2 linked regions of the Neodiprion lecontei genome follow. The protein of the gene in region 2 binds, or shares a complex with, the protein of the main gene of each other region. Links are inferred from orthologs where the notes say so. Each region holds a gene or a part of one and is shown on either strand. Other genes may lie near its edges.

Region 1 (8,357 bases), on a different chromosome or scaffold from region 2:
AAGAAAAATTAAATGATAAGGCAATCGCCGAGAAAAACGCTAAACTAGTCAATACACTGGCAGAAAAGTTAGATACTATTTCTTTAATATCGTCATTAACAGAAACGGAGAATCCTGCGGCACCTCCTTGGAGCCAAAAATTGAATGCCAGCCTGTCTCTTACTGAAGACTTTAATCCATACTCAAATTTTACTGATCTTGGTAATGACATCGCTGAATGGCTACACCGATTTTCATTCAAATCTGAACAGTCCTTCAGCCTGACAAATTTTGACTGCATTGATCAATTGGCTGTAAAAAGAAAAGTGAAATTGGGGGTCGATTTCGCGTTGTCACAAGCCATTCCTTCAACTCTAGAACATAGATCTACAGCAACAGATTATTTACCCGTTGTAAGAACTATCTGCAGAACTGAACAAAACCGAGCAAAAGCTAATACCAAACGGGGAAACCGATTTCACAATTATTTACACAGCCTAAACCTGACATCTGCATCAAATAACATACTCGCTGCAGCTAGCACTGTTTTTCAAGATAAACATACATGACTAAATTTGAGTTTAATTTAATCAGCCCTAATCCGGGAATCAGTTAGGTTAGGTCACTCATAGTGCCTTAATAACTTATTATCTCGATTCCAGAGGTCCAATTTTAAATTGTATGATCCGATCTCATTGAACCTGACAATGATTTGAGGTAAAATGCGGGTTGAATTCGAATCACAATTGAATGGCCAGTTTATTTTATGCTGCGGAAACAACTTTCCACCATCGTCAAAGCTTATCTCAAATGTCCGGCTATCTCAGATTCCAGCATATCTTTTTTCTATCTATTTTTATTTTGCCTAACAATCCCTGATTCAAATTTTTCAAGTTCTCATCTTTTGATCTTCAGCATCTTCGCAAAAGTAAAACAAAAAATTTTACTCTTCCCAATGTTCTTGTTTTCAAATAACGAACGAATGCTTCTCATGGTTAATCTATGTATTGCCATTAATATTTTTCGTACCATTATTACTATTTTTTTCATATGTTAATTGAAGTAGTAAGTTGTTCCTGAACTTCATTGTCAACTAAATTATTGGATTTATTTTCCAAAAATTGGTAGAGTTTACACAGAATTTATTGCAGATGTGGATTTTTCATCACGAATATTTTTAGACTCAGGTAATTTAACAAAAACTACAGAGACTACTCTCAGACGTGACTACAAAATATAACGCAATAACGAAGTATACTCATTGAGTTTTATCCATACAACTAATTTACTTTAATATTTTCATGATTTTTTACTGCACTGTTGTTTGGTTATCCATTACACGTCAATTTCCATGTTATGCGATTTCAAGAACTTTGGTTGTGAAAACATTTTTTATTTATTTATTAGTGAACAGTGTTTCGAAAATGAGTTAATTGTTGGTAACGAATCAAAGAGTTGTAATCAACTCGTGAATTGATCTGAAATTTTCTTTCTTTCAAAATAAATCAATTCTATCATTACAACTGTTCTGTGCCGGATTTGAAGTTGTTGATGGCATGAGTTTTGTAGTAAACAACATCTTCGAAAATGTAATTTTAATCTGAAATTTTCTGTAGATAATTCGTAAATCATAGTAACATCTTTGAGAAAAGAATCAAATTTATTTTACCGTTGTAAAGGTGACCTATTAGTGATAATATGCATTTGGTGATGCAATAATGTATATACTGTGAATAGGATACGTTGTGCCTAATCTATGATGTAACAATAATGCATTGAAAAATATTGGTATCGATAGGTTTTCGACTTTTGTATCAAAAAAATATAAAAATTATTTATTTTAAAATTTCATTAATTTATTCTCCAAAATTTAGGTGTACACAAATTAATCATAATTGCAAATCTACATTCCAACAGATTAGATCTTTATTTTGTGCAGTTTGCGATTGAGTTCTTCAAACTTTAATATCTTACGGATAAAGAAATCACCGTAACGATGAGCCACCTTGGTGTCAGCGATGTGGATCATGTCGTGATCGATGTAGAAGTCCAGCTTTGTAGTAAAAAAACCAAAAATAGTTCATCAAAATTTCATCAAAACCATTCACAATTGTGAGTTATTCTGCAGGATATAGATCAATCGGGACATTGAAATTCTTAATTCGTTTTCCATATAGATTATACATGCAATATAATTACAGACTATTGCAAAAATAAAAGCAGAGAATTCATGAAGCTGTTTGCACTGGAACTCCATCACTATTTATGTTAAATCAAAATATTTTGAATGTCACACGCGAAAAACGATGGATCAAGTTTTTCATACTCGAGTTTGGAGAATCAAGTATTTACTCAACAGATTTTGTTTAGGGACCTTTGGAATATGTTCTAGATACCCAAAAAATTTCAATAAATGCTGGTGTTGAATTTAAAGGACAGAGAAGTGTATAAGTGCACATCCACTTTAAGTAATTCTTTTCATAGAATCAAGACTGAACTTTTAAAACTGATACATGGAACCAGTATACTTTGAACTTTGTTAAAAATTGGGCAGCAAAATCTGAACTAATGTGTAAGATATTTAAAAAAAATTAATTACTGAAGAAAGAATTGGAAACTAACTGTTTTCAAGAGTGACAATAAAAGAATGCACCGAAGAACGTTTCGATCTAACTCCGACAGTGATGAAGTTTCACTGCAAATAAACAACTCAATAAAGTTGACACCATAGGAAAAATTCAACTCCCTGAAAGTCATTAACACATGCTAATTAATAGTTAAAGATCTTTGTGGGACCGGACAACCCGTTTTATGCAAAGTAGATTTCATTAAAAAATGACAAATCCTTACCTCAGAACCAGACTGAAACTTTCCATCCAATCCCGAAGAGCCTTTGGTCCAAACAATGTTTTTCATTTTATGCTTGAAGCAGAGCAAATAAATACCCAATGTGGCTACCTCTTTATCCAAGTCCCAAGATCCATCAGGCCGAGTACTGCTGCACATGAATGTGGCCAGTTTACTGAGGGGAAGTGTAGTGTACAGCTTCAAGTAGGACCTAATTGTGGGTAACATTTTCTGCTGGGCAACTTCGTCCATAAATACTTGGGTTTGATGCTTGATAGCTTCTTTGACGTAATCCTCATTGGGGGCATCAGGTGGCGGCGGACAAGGAGACAAAAACTTGGGGCAAGCGTAGAGAAAGCAGGCTTCAAATTCAGCAAGATCACCATACTGCATCTTGTACATCTTTTCATGGTAATTCTTTTCACGCAGAGCCTGCTGCAGAACCTCGTCGATGCATTGAGGGTGAAGAACAAGACAGATTGCAAGGAGGTGGTACATTTGCTCGGTCTGTTTGTTTATTTGATCATTTTGGTAGCTTCTTGACGTAAAGAGTTGCTTAGTGCGCTGAATATAAAGTAGGATGCTCGAGAAGGTCCTTATGGCATCTGCATACCGGCGCATCATCATGTAAGCAAAGCCGACATAGTAGGCTGTAGAAATCTGACAGGCTGGGACGTGCGAATACGCACTTTTCTTGTAAAGTTCCACATTCTCAAGGACTTTTATAGCCTGATAGTAATCTCCGAGCAAAGAGTGGAGCCGGAGAAGACCTACCAGTGAGAAATATCCAAGCATTTTATACAGGGAATGTCTACCGAAACTTCCAGCGACAGAATCGGGATCCCCACCACTGGCATAAACCTCAAGCTGACTCTTGATCTTCGATTTATCAACTAGCGAGTGTAGAACATTGAGAATACAAAGTACGCTCCATATGTTATTATGTGCATTCAAGTTTTCTATCTCTTCCGGTGTCTTTTTCAACAGCCTTGCACGGTACTGAGCAAAGCACTGAAACTGGTAAACAAATTCGTCGATCAGCTCCCACAGCCATTGATCAGGGAGTTCCAATGGAACAGGAGTCTCTGCGCTGAGAATATAGTTGAAGAGATCACAGTAATTGAAGAAAGAACCAAATCGCTGCTCTAGGGTCGGACCACCTGGAATCCTGGCGTAAATGTGCCGGTAGTAGAGCTCCTTATAGAGGACCAAGAACACTGGGTCGTTGTCGACGATGTGGGCGACGTCGGTCTCGTCTGGCCACGACTGTTTGTCGAAGAACTGCTCGGACAGTTTCGGAAAAGAATTCTCGTAGAGGGTTTGAACCTCGAATATTACTCCTTCGTTTATACAGTTCCGAAAATATATCAAGAACTTTCTAACCAGTTCGGGCACCTGGCGGTATGCGTCCCTGTCATACTCATCGGTGTGGGTATCCGCGACTGGCCCGTAGTCGGCGTAGCTATCATACTGGATTATGAAAATACAATGGAGTTAGACAGTGCTAATTGTTGCATATTGCTCGATTTACTCACCTGATCATTGTAATCGTCATACATCGTGCTGAAATCCCACACGACGCGTGCTAAGTTAACCTCACGTAACTCCTACGAAAGCAGCTGGCCGAAAAGCAGTCAGTATTGCTAGATGGTCGTGTTACTTCCTCCTAGGTACTCTCTAGCTTAGCCCTTACAGCATATCCAACTAGAGGCAGCTACACATGCCATCAACTTCGCGAAAACTCTGGCCGTAGTGATGAGAGGGCGAAATATATATCCCCAGGTTACCGTGGATACTCTGACTCTCTCACTCTGGATTTTATTGGCTGAAAGGAAACGTATCAGATAACCAGGTTGTAGAGTGCGAGAGACAGGCTGTACATCGCAAGGCTACCATCAGTAATATATGCTCTAAGGGTTCCGCCCAAAACTCCCGTAAGCGAGCGTTCCACCCAAAACTCCCCTTAGGAAGCGTTCCAAAATTAGGTAGCCGCGCTAAAAACTCCCTAGGACACAGGCAGAACTATTCACAAACTCGGCAGCGCAAAAACGATAAGAAATTGTTGACAGCACGGGGAGCTAATATCGGAATGCACCCTAAATAACCATCACCAACCGCCTGTGACATGCGACCGCCTCGCTACAAATATTTTTCTTTATATTCACAGTTTTTACAAACCACGCCTTGCTTTGGCATAAGGATGTTGCGATCAAACCAAAAGTTACTAGATGACGTTTAGTTACTCATACCTAACTATGTATTTAAATTGCAAACCAGACTTAACTGAAAATCGTGACATCCTCCTACAGAATCTTAAAATTACCATAATCATAACTTGACCTACTCAAAGGCACTATTCAGCATTAATTGTAATCAATCGAAAAACCTCAGAGGTGGTTCTCAGGAAAAGCATAGACCAACGCCACGCGCACTAAGTGGTTTTGTCGGTAAGGATACCATAGACATAATCGACACTTGTACTCAAGGCTATTATACTCATATCTCATTACCGATATATAGCATACATAACCATGCCTATTATTTCTCTATGTTACAATACTTATATTTAATAATTATATTTACCTTCATATAATCATCAGCCTTACCATGCTGTGCCACCGTCAGTGCGTCGGTACGTCGCGAAGGCTGAATTCTCAGAAATGGTGCACAACAGCTTGCAACGTTGCGAAGCCTTAAGGGCCTTCTTCGATCATATTTGATCATAGATGAAAAGTCGTATTAGTCAATATTATTTTACTTGAGGTGAAGCAAAGCCATTAGGTATCGTATATCGGGAAAATCTCGTGAAACTTGAAAATAAACTGCGCATGCGCGAGTGTTATCGGCCGTTCATGCAGGCTGGCCATCCCGAGTTTCAGCTGTTAAACTGTTTCTGGCGGCGATGTAGTTAATACAAATTTCCGAGGTTAAAATCTTAAATAATTGAGGCAGTGGCTCGGAAAGGCTTGGGAAGCATTTGTTATTGGGTAGGAAAGTTGATTCTTCAAAGAGCAGTCAGAATTTAATGCTTATGCTCTTTGAAAATTCAAACGCACACATTATGTACGTTGGCCTCCTGCATCGCAGACAAGAATATCGCTCTGGGAAGATTTCGCCGACCAATGAGATCGAATTATTTGGCGCATGCGCAGTTTATTTTCAAATTTTAAGAGATTGTCCCGGTATAAAATAACAATACTCAATGCACCCTTGCACACCTGTGCAGTCTTCCAAACAATTATTTAAGTATACAATTATTCAAATATAAAATTATTGAATTACAGGAATATTTCGATGGTAAAAATTATTCTAAAATATACATGGAGCCACACGCGAAAATATATTCAATATCAAATATTATAAACTCCAGCAAAGTAGCTCTGGGAGCAAGCTAAAAGCTAGCCGGGGTACGCGAACAGACTTTATGAGGTGACGAAGTACAATTTCATCCAAGTATTTTAAATAATATCATATTCCAATTTGTAATCCAACTTATAGTGTTATCATCGATCTTGAATGATCTAAAAGTATCAGATTCAAGTTTTAATTCTTTTTAAATCCACCTATAAACTCAAAGTCTAATTATCAATTAGTTCCTCAAACCCTAAAACTTATCGTCGATTCCTTGCCGCTCCACGAGAATCATCGGCCGCTAACTGCTGGTCCTGAATCGAGTAGAGACAAGGTAAGTTGTACATCAAATCATTATTATTAATCTTATTATCCATCGAGTTCCTCCTTGTAGATTCCACTTAATATCCCAACTGTAATTTTATAACATGACTGTTTCACGTCTTTCCAGTGTACTTTAATACTTACAATTAATCGATATTGGCAACCCAAACTACTCATTGTACATCTCAGTACATTTTTGCGATTTAATTTAGAATGTAACTCCTTAAGTGTCCGGTCGTAAACGTAAACGACATACCTATAACGTCCGTACAGCCCGTAGAGCTCATATATCTGAGTATGACGTCTTAACGAACACTTTTCAACTAATCGAGAGGTGGACCTTAAATTATGTAGTGAAAATGTACATACCAGAACGCAGAGTCAGTAGTTTTGGGTGGTCATAAGTACCGACCATATAGTCTTGTAAAGATACACTGCGCGGTGTTACTGGGTTGCTGAAGGGGGGAAACCGGTTTATGAGGTCGAAATTTTTCTGTTTTTCATGATTTTTTTTAACCAGGAAGGAATAATCACAAATTGTTTAAACTTGGAGGATATTTTATTTATGTTTTGAAGTACATTTTAAAATTTTTTCAAACGATTTCCGCCGGAAATAGTGGAGTTACCGCGTGCAGTCCATGGGCGATTGCCATCCGAGCATTTGGCTGGCGTACATCCCTGAGGTCGCAATTTTTATCTGTAATCATCGGGATTTTTTTTTTTCATTAAAAACATATTTTCTAAGAATATGAACCTAATTTTGATCAAACGAAATGAAAATTGCATGTTTTTGAGGTGTTTGAACACAATGTCATGTTTTTATACTATATTTTTTCATCTTTCTTGCATAAAAACATATATTTTTAATAACAATATAATCCCCGAATTTGGTTCATGTTACGTGGAATTGAATAAAGAATATCTACACCAAATTTCAGAACGATTGATCAATAACTTTTTGAGCTAGAATGTACGCTAGTCGAAAAAAAGTCGTTTCGAGAAAAACGCGTTTGAAATAAAATGTAGCGAAAACGAGAAATTCAAGGCAGTAATTAATTATAAAAAATGCTCACCGGTTAATCAGCTATTCCAGCACCATATAGCAATCCCTCTTCTTGCTCATATGCGTCATTTTTAGCTTGCAATTCCGCTTGACGAGCTATACGACCATCCTTCGTCTCCAATGAGCTGCGCCTATTCTGTCTCGTCACGCGCTTTCTTTCCATGCTCTCGGCATAATTGAAGCTCTGTGAGCCAACGACGAGATTTAATTCATTCATCAGTATTAGAAGGGCTGAATTTCCTTTATTGAATAATGCAGTAGCCAAGAATGCTGCAACCTCGACTATTTTTAAACCAGCATGTAGATGCTTTGGAGCCAGTCGCCAAACGGTTGAATTGAAATTTTCGTTCGCATTCTGCGTATGATCGCCTAAGCATCTCGTCAGCAGATCGTCTCTCGATAAATCTTCGTATATCGGAAGAATTTCTTTTTGAACGTCGGGGTGTAATGGGGCAGGGTGCGGTTCAGGCTCTGTTCCAAGTGCTTTAGCTTGCTGCCACTTGCACCAGCTATCTTCTCCCTCTGGACAGTTGTCGTGTTGTGGATTGTCGTCTGTGGATGTCATGTGCTGAAAAGTTGCCATTATAGCCTTCTTCATGTCTTCGACGCTGTTTATATTTCTTCGAATCGCTAAGCCGTAGTACGTGCTGAGCTTTTTCACCAACGCCTCTGTCAATTTTCCTTTTCCGCCAAGTTTTTTATCTTTCCTGATGTTTCGGAGCCGAGTTCCCATCCTTTCCTGAACATGGCCTATACATTCACTTTTAACAACTTTAGTTCATTACCGTAGGGA
Region 2 (9,398 bases):
ACTATGAAACGTTGCGTGCTCAAGACCATGCTTATTTCAAATAAGACTGGACTATGCAACCTTGTAAGCACGCTTCAAATAAGACCGACTTGATGAAGACCGTCTTATTTGCCGCGTCTCAAGACCGTCTTGTTTGACGTCTATGGAACCAAACGCCATCTTAAGGCCTCGTATAAGACCGTCTTATTCGAGTCCGGTCTTAAGCACTGACTATGAATACCGGCCTATGAATACCGGCCTATGGCCCGTATTCATAGTCAGGTCTCAAGGCGGTGCTTAAGACCGTCTTGGTGAAGATCGTCTTATTCGTTCAAGACCGTCTTGAGATGCTATGTATTCATAGTCGGAAAACAAGACGGTCTTCGTCAAGAATTTGGTCTCAAGCGCTAGCTTATTTCATTCAAGACCGTCTTGACGAAGACTGAGCTTGAGACGGTCTTATTCGACGTTCGGTTATGTTCGGAATATTTCCGATGTATCCCCCAATAAGATGCTCGGATTTTATTTCTCAGCCTGTGCAAGATATTCGTATAGGCATGCAGCTCTTGAGTATTTTTATAGTTTATGAACACAACAACGTTAGCGCCACGTAGAGGAACTAAAAAACGGGAACAAATCGCGTGCAATTTTTTGTAGTGGGTGTATAGCTATAAAACGAAGAAGAAGAAAAAGAATTTTATAGTGTATGTTTATGTGTATATAATTTTTATATACACATATTTTAACCTATATCATTATGTAAATCTCTATACCGGTTATTGATAAATAAATTGTATTGATATGTTAAAAGGAATCCCGGTGCAGACTTGCAAAAAAATGCGCGTGAAAGGGACAACCTTTGATCTTCAAAGTTCAAAAGAGCAACTTTAGTTCTATTTACTGGCTGTATTTATAATGTATTGAATATTTTTACGTAGACAAATTTTCATAAGTATTATCGTAACTATAAGACTGACGCTTAGTACAATTACGTACATATCAGTATTTTCATGAGTAAGTGAGGGGTTTAAAAATAAAATGAGAACCAATGATAAGTTATGAGTAAAATATGTATTCTAATGTTAACTGTTTGTACAGATTAAATTCAATTTTATTAAATATTTGGAGTATATTCATTCTAAAATCAATTAGTCTTTACAATTAAATTAACTTGATATACATATATTTTGATTAAATGAATAACCGTTCGATTAGAGCTTCGCGTATTGCAAAACCCTCTCCAGGCTGCCAATGCGGTGCTTGAGGTGGCAATTCATCCGCTTCTTCTTCCTCGATGCGATTATCTTCCGGAAGAGCATTATCCAATGTTAGTGATAAATTGTGTAGTACGGCACAAGCTACAACAATTGTGGTAGAGCACAACAATTTGGTTCCCAAACCTCGGGATAGGCAAGGAAAACGTCGCTTCCAAACTCCAAATGTTCTTTCAACAATTTGCCTTGTTCTGCTTTGTACGTTGTTATACCTATCAAGATACCGACTTGGTTAATTCACACATGTATACTTTGTCAATTTTATGACTACTTATCGAAATCTAAAGTAATGCGATAATCTTTATCTTACCTTTGTTGAGCATCTGTAATTGGATTTGCCAGTGGAGTCAGCAGAAATGGCAAGCACGGATAGCCGGCATCTCCAACCAGGGTTCCAGTAAGTTGTCTCTCATGATACCGCATGTAAATTCGTGAATTTTGGAATATTTGACTGTCATGGTTACTTCCAGGCCATTCCGGAACCACATCCAAGAATTCCATATTGGGTCCGATAACTGCCTGTGGTATCATTTAAATTAAAAGTACCGATTTTCATAGAATAGTATTGTTTATTTGTATCCTAGATAAAATTAATTGCAACTTATGGTATTTGTAAACGGTTATCACCAACGCGACATACCTGTACATTGAGGGAAAAATATCCCTTACGATTCCTATAAACCTCCTGCAGGTCTGCAAATTTCGTATGACATAATCGAATGTGAGTGCAGTCGATAGCGCCATCAACGCCAGGTAAACCGATACCCTCCCTGCGTGCACCAAGTTGTCTGAATAGATCTCTGTTTGCGATCATAGCAGCTTCCGTACTAGGAAATTTGATAATTGCGTGAATCAATGATGCAATTTGAGCCGATACTCTGTGTATTATCCTCGATACTGTAGACTGCGATATAGTCATCAGATCTCCGTTGACGAGCTGTACAGTACAAAATGTATTAGCAATCATTTATTCCATGATCACAGGAAGCAATGAAATCACTTTATATTTTCAGTAGAATGTCAGGAATTATAATCACAATGATCCTTACTTGAAAGCTAGCGGTAGCGTAAAATCGTAGACATATTAATAATTGCATGACAGGTGGAATTGGTAGACCACGATTATTGGCACTGACTAAGGCAGCTTCAATTCTAGGTAGTATTCCGTACATAATACCATCCTTTGAAAATCGGAATCGCCGTTTGAACTCCTGCTCGGAATAAAACTCGAACGGGTTTTGACCATCTCTGATGTATCTCTTCGGAGCTCGCTGTACTTCACCCTCGTCTTCGTCATTCGGCCCAACGTTGACCATTGAACAATCATATTATTCATTTCTTCGATCTGATCGTAGAAATTAAACATATCTTGCATATTCGCCATGTCAGTAGAATTTCACTATTCACTTCACTTCACAAATTTTTCAAAGCGAATGCTCTCATAACCTCTACTTCAATTGCAAGTTTCCGTTGCTACCCTTTTACAGTAAATAATCCCGTCCCAGCTGCACTTTCCCAAACATTCCTTCACAATCTATTCCTGTTAATTTATATTGTTCGAATATAATATTTTCCAAACAATTCGTAATTATCAATTTCGTACGCATCAGAACAATTGAGTAATATTTAGGCAACAAGCATTTGCTTAAGTGCAGTCCGAACTCGACTTGATCAAGATACGTAAATAAGACTGCGTTAATTGACTATGAAACGTTGCGTGCTCAAGACCATGCTTATTTCAAATAAGACTGGACTATGCAACCTTGTAAGCACGCTTCGAATAAGACCGACTTGATGAAGACCGTCTTATTTGCCGCGTCTCAAGACCGTCTTGTTTGACGTCTATGGAACCAAACGCCATCTTAAGGCCTCGTATAAGACCGTCTTATTCGAGTCCGGTCTTAAGCACTGACTATGAATACCGGCCTAAGTATATTTTTCAAAATTTTTCTCAGCCACGCTATTCTCGAAGGTCATAGAAGAATTGGCGAGAGAGAGAGAGAGAGAGAGAGAGAGAGAGAGAGAGAAGAGATAGAATAGTTAGGGTTTTGAGACAGTAGAGGCGCTTCTTTCACTGTATCCGGTCAACTTCCACTCCGTACTATACTCTTTCTCTTTGTTCAAGTTTTTAGAGGACGAATGGACAGCCAGAGCTGCAACGGTAAACAGTTGAATCATTCGCCCCATGAGATTAAGGACAAGGCCCGCCGTGCACCGCCGTGGCTCGTTGATTTTTGTTGCGTGCACGGTTTTTCCGACTATTTGAGTGATATTTCATAAAAATCAAGATCATGGATGACGAGTGGGGTATGTATTTTAAATGATTAAATATTCTGTGCCGATACATTTGATCAAAGGAAATGAATTTCTCGTGATTCGGCTTAATTTTTGACAACTCGTTTCGTATCGTATCATATTGCAGACGCGGATAATGTTGAGGCCAAATTCGACCTCGCAATGAGGTCCAATAAATGGGAAGGCGAAGATGAAGAGGAAGACGTTAAGGTATCGAAGTACAATGTGATATTCAGTTAACAAACATTCGAATACTCTCATTAATTTCATTCTGCCTCCATATGTTTCACCACCAAGTTTTCATAACCTTGTCCTAATTACCGCATGGAATTTTTGAGTGTCTTTTCTCTATGAAAATTGACGACCTATCTTGCCCGTGTCAAATAAATCAATATGTATTCACTTTTATTCTTTAAACATCATTTTCTCAAAAGATGTGTATATTATTCCAAAGTCTTTGACATGATATTTTTTTCTTTCCCATTTCCATTACCACTTCATGTCAATAATCTCATTGACGCATACTTAATTGCTTAATATTTATTGACGTTATTAGGATAGTTGGGAAGATGTGGAAGAGGAAAAAAAAGATGTAGAAAAGGCTGCTGAGGTGCCAAAGGCTAAAGCAAAACCTAAAAAAACATTGGCCGATAAAATCGAGGAGCGTGAGGTCAGCGTCTCCATTACTAAAAAATGATTGTACTTATTTTATTTTCATTCATAGTCGCTTAATAAAAGATTCACTACAGTAACTTTGCTAATCGGTTTAATTGACTGAAATCTTACAGGATTGTTGAGAAATATTTCTGATATAGTAGATGAATCCTGTATTTAAATTCTCTATTGGGAGTATCAATCAAACGATACAAAGTATTTTAAACAAATCATTTTCTTCACATCTAGAAAAAGACGCGAGAAGAAGCAGAAAGAAAGGCGAAGGAAAAGGAAGAGGCCTTAACACCTGAGGAAAGGAGAGCGGAAATGTTGAGACGTCAGAGGCTTCAGGAAGAAGCGGATCTTCGACTAGCCATGGAAACATTTGGTTTGTCAAACCTTGTTGACTTTAGCCCCCGTAAACCACAAAAAAGTGAAAAAAAATAACAATTCTCCCCTGCTATCAAATATTCTCACAATCATAATAATTATTATTAATCCACTTGTACTATCTATCACTTTTAATTTTTACCTGTATTCGAATCTGCTGTATCTCAGATTATTGTCAGATTTGTGGAATTTTATTTTTATTGATATTAAATTTATCTGTTGCACATAATTTTAGTTTTCTGGTGTTGCTACAGATATTTTTTTTTTTACCGAAACATTCTTACAACAACCCCGACACGTATGAATTCTGGTGAACGTATAACAGTGAAATATACCATAATTAATTTAATACTAGAATTAACCTTGAGGCGATATTTCGTAAATAACATAAAACTTAATTCAATCCTGAGATAATTGATGAAGCTGATTCAAATTCTCAATTATTCAAATTTGACTGATGCTTAATTCTTTCGATATACTTTGACTCATGTGTGGTTACCGCGAGATTAGGCAAGCTTAAGACATTGTGATAGATTTTCGAGGGGTATAGAATTCTGAGCCAATGAACTTGACGAAATTGTATCAAATTAGTCTATAAACTTAATCATAAATCAGATTCTTTGTTTCGAAGTAGTTTTTTCTTGAAATTTCAAGTTAAAATGATGAAGTCTAATTTAATTAGTGATTCTGAATACGTTTTGCATTATTTTTCATTGCTTGAACATACGTAGAAAAGCGCAGTATTAAGGATGAAAATAACCACGTAAACATTTCCACCTAAGATTAATGAAATATTAAGTGAAAGTAACGTTAATTTTTTTTTTTATCTAACAACATTAAGTTTCGAAATGCTACATTAATGAACCTATAATTGTCAGGAACTGTACCAGAGATGAACGAAATCCATACGATTTATTACCAATTTTAATACAATGAAATTTAATAATGTTATGTATTTTAATAAAATTGATATTTTGCACAAACAAACTGTTGTGTCCACGTCAGTCTTTATACATCCTTGCATACTGTTTTTAATCTCCTGTATTGTTCCTGATGAGCTGTTCGATAATGTATTCCTTATTTGTATCTCATTTTAAAGGTGTGTGGTGAAGATTGTATGGCTTCTAGCTACACAAATTTTTGTTTATCTTAAAATCTTTAAAAACGAAAATGCGCAAGTATTAAACAATAACAAGAAACTCCTATTTTAAATTAATAACAACCGTTTTAGGTTCCATCAAGTATTTATACACTTGTGAAACTTAAAATTATTTTCTAATTACTTATTAACTGGATTGGGTAGAAGTATAAGATGGAAAGAAAATGCTATCACGAAAATTGAAGATACAGGTCAAAAATTTGTATGTGCTGTTGTCAAGTTACCAGTGTTATCTAATTTATTATGAAACTCACGTTTTTATGTTAAGGTGTGAACCCTGAAGCTGCTACAGGACTTGACTCTATGACACCTGACACAAAAGAAGATTTCGACCAGTTCAGTGAAGCACTTTTAAAGAAAATAAACCAATTCAACAAGCATGCTGAGTTTACCACGTTCGCCGAAGAGTTCATTAAAAACATTGCCGTGAATTGTTAGTATCTTACTCTTTATGGAATATTATCTTTCTCAATCATATGCACTCTTTTTTAATTGAAATTAAAATTGTTGCAGTGTCTTCGACAAGTTTGAAAAAAGTGAAAACGACAATTGAAAATTTAGCTATCGAAAAACAAAAGATTGAAAAAGGGGATAAGGGTAAGAAGAACAAGGGTAAAGGCAAAGCAAAACTACGAGTCGAGGGTGATAATTCACATCTAAATGAGTATGGCGATTATGGTTTTGATGACGAATTTAATGATTTTATGTAGCGCCGAGATGTAAGTGAAAGTCAGTTACTGTTACAAAACAACAATCTGCATACATGGAAACAGACAAAAAATAGATTTATTATACAAAATGTAAGAAAGTGACAGCCAAAAAAACTAAAAACATGCAGCTCCAACATGAATGTACTAATACATGACGATTGTAAGGCATGTAGATCCATGCCCGTTATTATACATGTTGAATATTATTATTAAATCACATCGAAACCAGAGTTTGTTGTCATTATTTTTTTTTGGTTCAGTGGCTATTTCTATTAAGCCAGTTTAGTGCAGATTTTACAATATCAAATTTAAATATCTATATAGTTAGATAACTTTGAATATTAAGAATTGCTCTAAATTAAAGAAATGACAATTTAGAGCCATGAGTTGATTGTTACCACGCTACTTTAATTCAATTTCAAATACTATTAAAACTATTACTTACGTCTGTTCTCCTACCCGCAGTTCTTCATGCAATGCAATAATCAATGTTAATAAATTTTGTATAACTAATAACAACTACTTACATTGTGCGTATTGGTTGATAAATCAAAGTTGATTTTAAAAAGAATATATTAAGTAATAAAGGATCACTGAAATGCGAATGTTGAAACGTCATTTGCTGTTTATTACCAGAAAAATTCACTTCGATTAAACTTGATAAACCCTACAACATTTATCATCCAGTTCTCTTACGTTCAATCTCAGACAATCAATTTTTCAGCACTGTGAATTTGATGTGGTGTCAGAAATAAACATGTTCCACAAGTCGAATGTGCGACTGTAAACAAAAAAAGAAGTCGTCATTATTTTGAGGAACCAAAATGGATTGGACGTTTCCTGAGGGTTAAGAAGCCTTGAATTTTTTGTCCTATCTGAGAAAATGGAAGTACTCATGGTTTAGTGCGTCAGCAACATTAACTGTTTAGTTAATTCATTTGATTTTTGCATCTTCTTTGATGACAGTGATTTAATGACTGCATAAATCTCAGCCTTTGCTCTAGGACCTCAGCAGTTACTGTTTACAACGAACTGTTCCTACGAAAATCTTATACAGTCATGGTATCTCCAATGCACAAATGTCTATGGTCATTGGCCTTTAAAATAGAAATATATCGGCCATTATCCTTTGAATTGGGGCGAAGAATGTTCGTGAATGATTATAATCATGACGATAGTTACATCCATGGATTGAATAGTTATATTAGTATGACTCTGATTGTGTCTAATTCTGTACGCTTTTATTACCAAGAATTACACTTAATTCAAATATCTATTTCTTTTCAGCCTCCGTGCTTTCCAACTGTGTTTCTACTAATAAATTTTCGTCAACAACACGTTTAATTCCAATTTGCAACTGCATTACGATAAGCGATAAACTCAACTTACCTGTCAAGCAAAACATGAAAGGCTGATAACTTACGATCTTTTCATATCTGATGAAAGAAAGTTGTTTTCAACTTAAATACACTTCAATGATTCATGATTTCTTGCTATGAATTCTAAATTGTCAATCTGGAGAAAAAAAACTTGATAAAAGCATTTTTTTATATCTAATTAATTTTTGTTTTATTGACATAATAACACTGCTCGCCACAGCCTTCAAATTATTACCCCAAAAAAAAACTCTGTACAAAAACATTTGTTTCTTTTCCAATTCATCCAAGTAATAATTTATAACTCACAGCGAAAGATTAAAAAAAAAATGTTTAATTCAATTATTGTAAAAAAATGCTCTGAAATCCGCAGAATTAACAAAGGAACAGAGATTCTTCTTTAAATATTTTTGTCAACATATTATTTTAGGACTTACTGCAAGCAAAAGAATCGATACCGAATTTTTTTTTAATTCTGCGATCAGAGAATAATAAGATATATAAGGGTCATTCTCAAAAGTAATTGACCCTCGTTATCAGCATCATTCGGGGTAAGAAGCGAAGAAAAAACTGGATGGTAATCGGTAGAAAGTGGTTGAAGCGTAATTGGAATTTTGAATAATCTTAAATCATGGGATTAGCGGTGCGTCCATTTCTGATACGCTCTCTGAAGTACATTTCTTTCCTAACGTTATTCATTCCGGCTCAGTGGTCGGCAGCAGCAAACATGTCGTTGAGTCCAGGAGATCCGAATTCCTATTCACGGCCCGGTATTGTAATATATTTGCATTTAATGAATTAATACATACAATTCCGCTATAATTTAATGTTTTAATCAATGCTATTTCGATTGAGCTTGAATCGTTTATGAATGTTTATCGTTAGCTGAAAGTCTTAACCTACAACAAAATATTTTTTGTGTACATTTCGAAATAATTAGTGGCTTGTCATTTGATACACCCATAAATATGAGTCGAAATAGGTTTTCTGAGCTGCAAACTCTTTCACATATCTAAATACGGCTTGAATAACTATTTGACGTTATTCTCCGTATCTTGTTATTGTTTCAATTATTCAAATATTTCCAGACTTAGCCGTGGTGACGCATATTGATCTGCACCTGCGTGTGGATTTTGACAAAAAAGTATTGGTTGGAAGCGTTATTTTGGATGTTAAAAAATCTGGGGATACCAACGAAGTGGTTAGTATTGTTCCATAAGGCGACTTAAATTTCTTTTAGTGTGAGTGCCTTCGATAATGTCTTTATTCATCCACATGTAAAGTTGCATTAGTGAATGAGATAGTACAATCAATAATCCGAAATGCTTTTACTAGCGTGAACACGTCCAAGTACAGAGTTTCAATTATTGAGAAATTCTTAAAATTGGTATTTTCATAATCTATAAAAAATGTTGTAGATTTTGGATAACCGAGGGTTGACCATTTCGACTGTGCTTAATGTTGCCGATGGTTCGCCATTAGAGTTTGTCAAAGGGGAATCAGTGACATATGGGTCAAAACTCAGCATCAAACTGCCTCAAGTGCAATCTCCAAATAATAC

The links.
Region 1: eukaryotic translation initiation factor 3 subunit J (region 2) and eukaryotic translation initiation factor 3 subunit L share a complex: the UniProt entries of both Drosophila melanogaster proteins name them as parts of the eukaryotic translation initiation factor 3 (eIF-3) complex. The link is inferred for Neodiprion lecontei from reciprocal best matches to the Drosophila melanogaster genes eIF3j and eIF3l.

What each region holds. Positions count from the first base shown.
Region 1 is NC_060261.1:18,340,825-18,349,181, forward strand, and holds eukaryotic translation initiation factor 3 subunit L, read right to left. Parts: upstream 4,556-8,357; 5' UTR 4,386-4,555; coding exon 4,362-4,385; intron 4,297-4,361; coding exon 2,830-4,296; intron 2,033-2,829; coding exon 1,898-2,032; 3' UTR 1,811-1,897; downstream 1-1,810. Other genes in the region: ATPase family AAA domain-containing protein 5, read left to right, coding at 1-548. UniProt on the Drosophila melanogaster protein: Component of the eukaryotic translation initiation factor 3 (eIF-3) complex, which is involved in protein synthesis of a specialized repertoire of mRNAs and, together with other initiation factors, stimulates binding of mRNA and methionyl-tRNAi to the 40S ribosome.
Region 2 is NC_060260.1:36,066,886-36,076,283, reverse strand, and holds eukaryotic translation initiation factor 3 subunit J, read left to right. Parts: upstream 1-3,405; 5' UTR 3,406-3,544; coding exon 3,545-3,560; intron 3,561-3,675; coding exon 3,676-3,758; intron 3,759-4,104; coding exon 4,105-4,218; intron 4,219-4,451; coding exon 4,452-4,590; intron 4,591-6,019; coding exon 6,020-6,184; intron 6,185-6,264; coding exon 6,265-6,461; 3' UTR 6,462-7,066; downstream 7,067-9,398. Other genes in the region: putative nuclease HARBI1, read right to left, coding at 1,171-1,465, 1,564-1,772, 1,894-2,190, 2,303-2,569; leukotriene A-4 hydrolase, read left to right, coding at 8,469-8,607, 8,926-9,038, 9,256-9,398. UniProt on the Drosophila melanogaster protein: Component of the eukaryotic translation initiation factor 3 (eIF-3) complex, which is involved in protein synthesis of a specialized repertoire of mRNAs and, together with other initiation factors, stimulates binding of mRNA and methionyl-tRNAi to the 40S ribosome.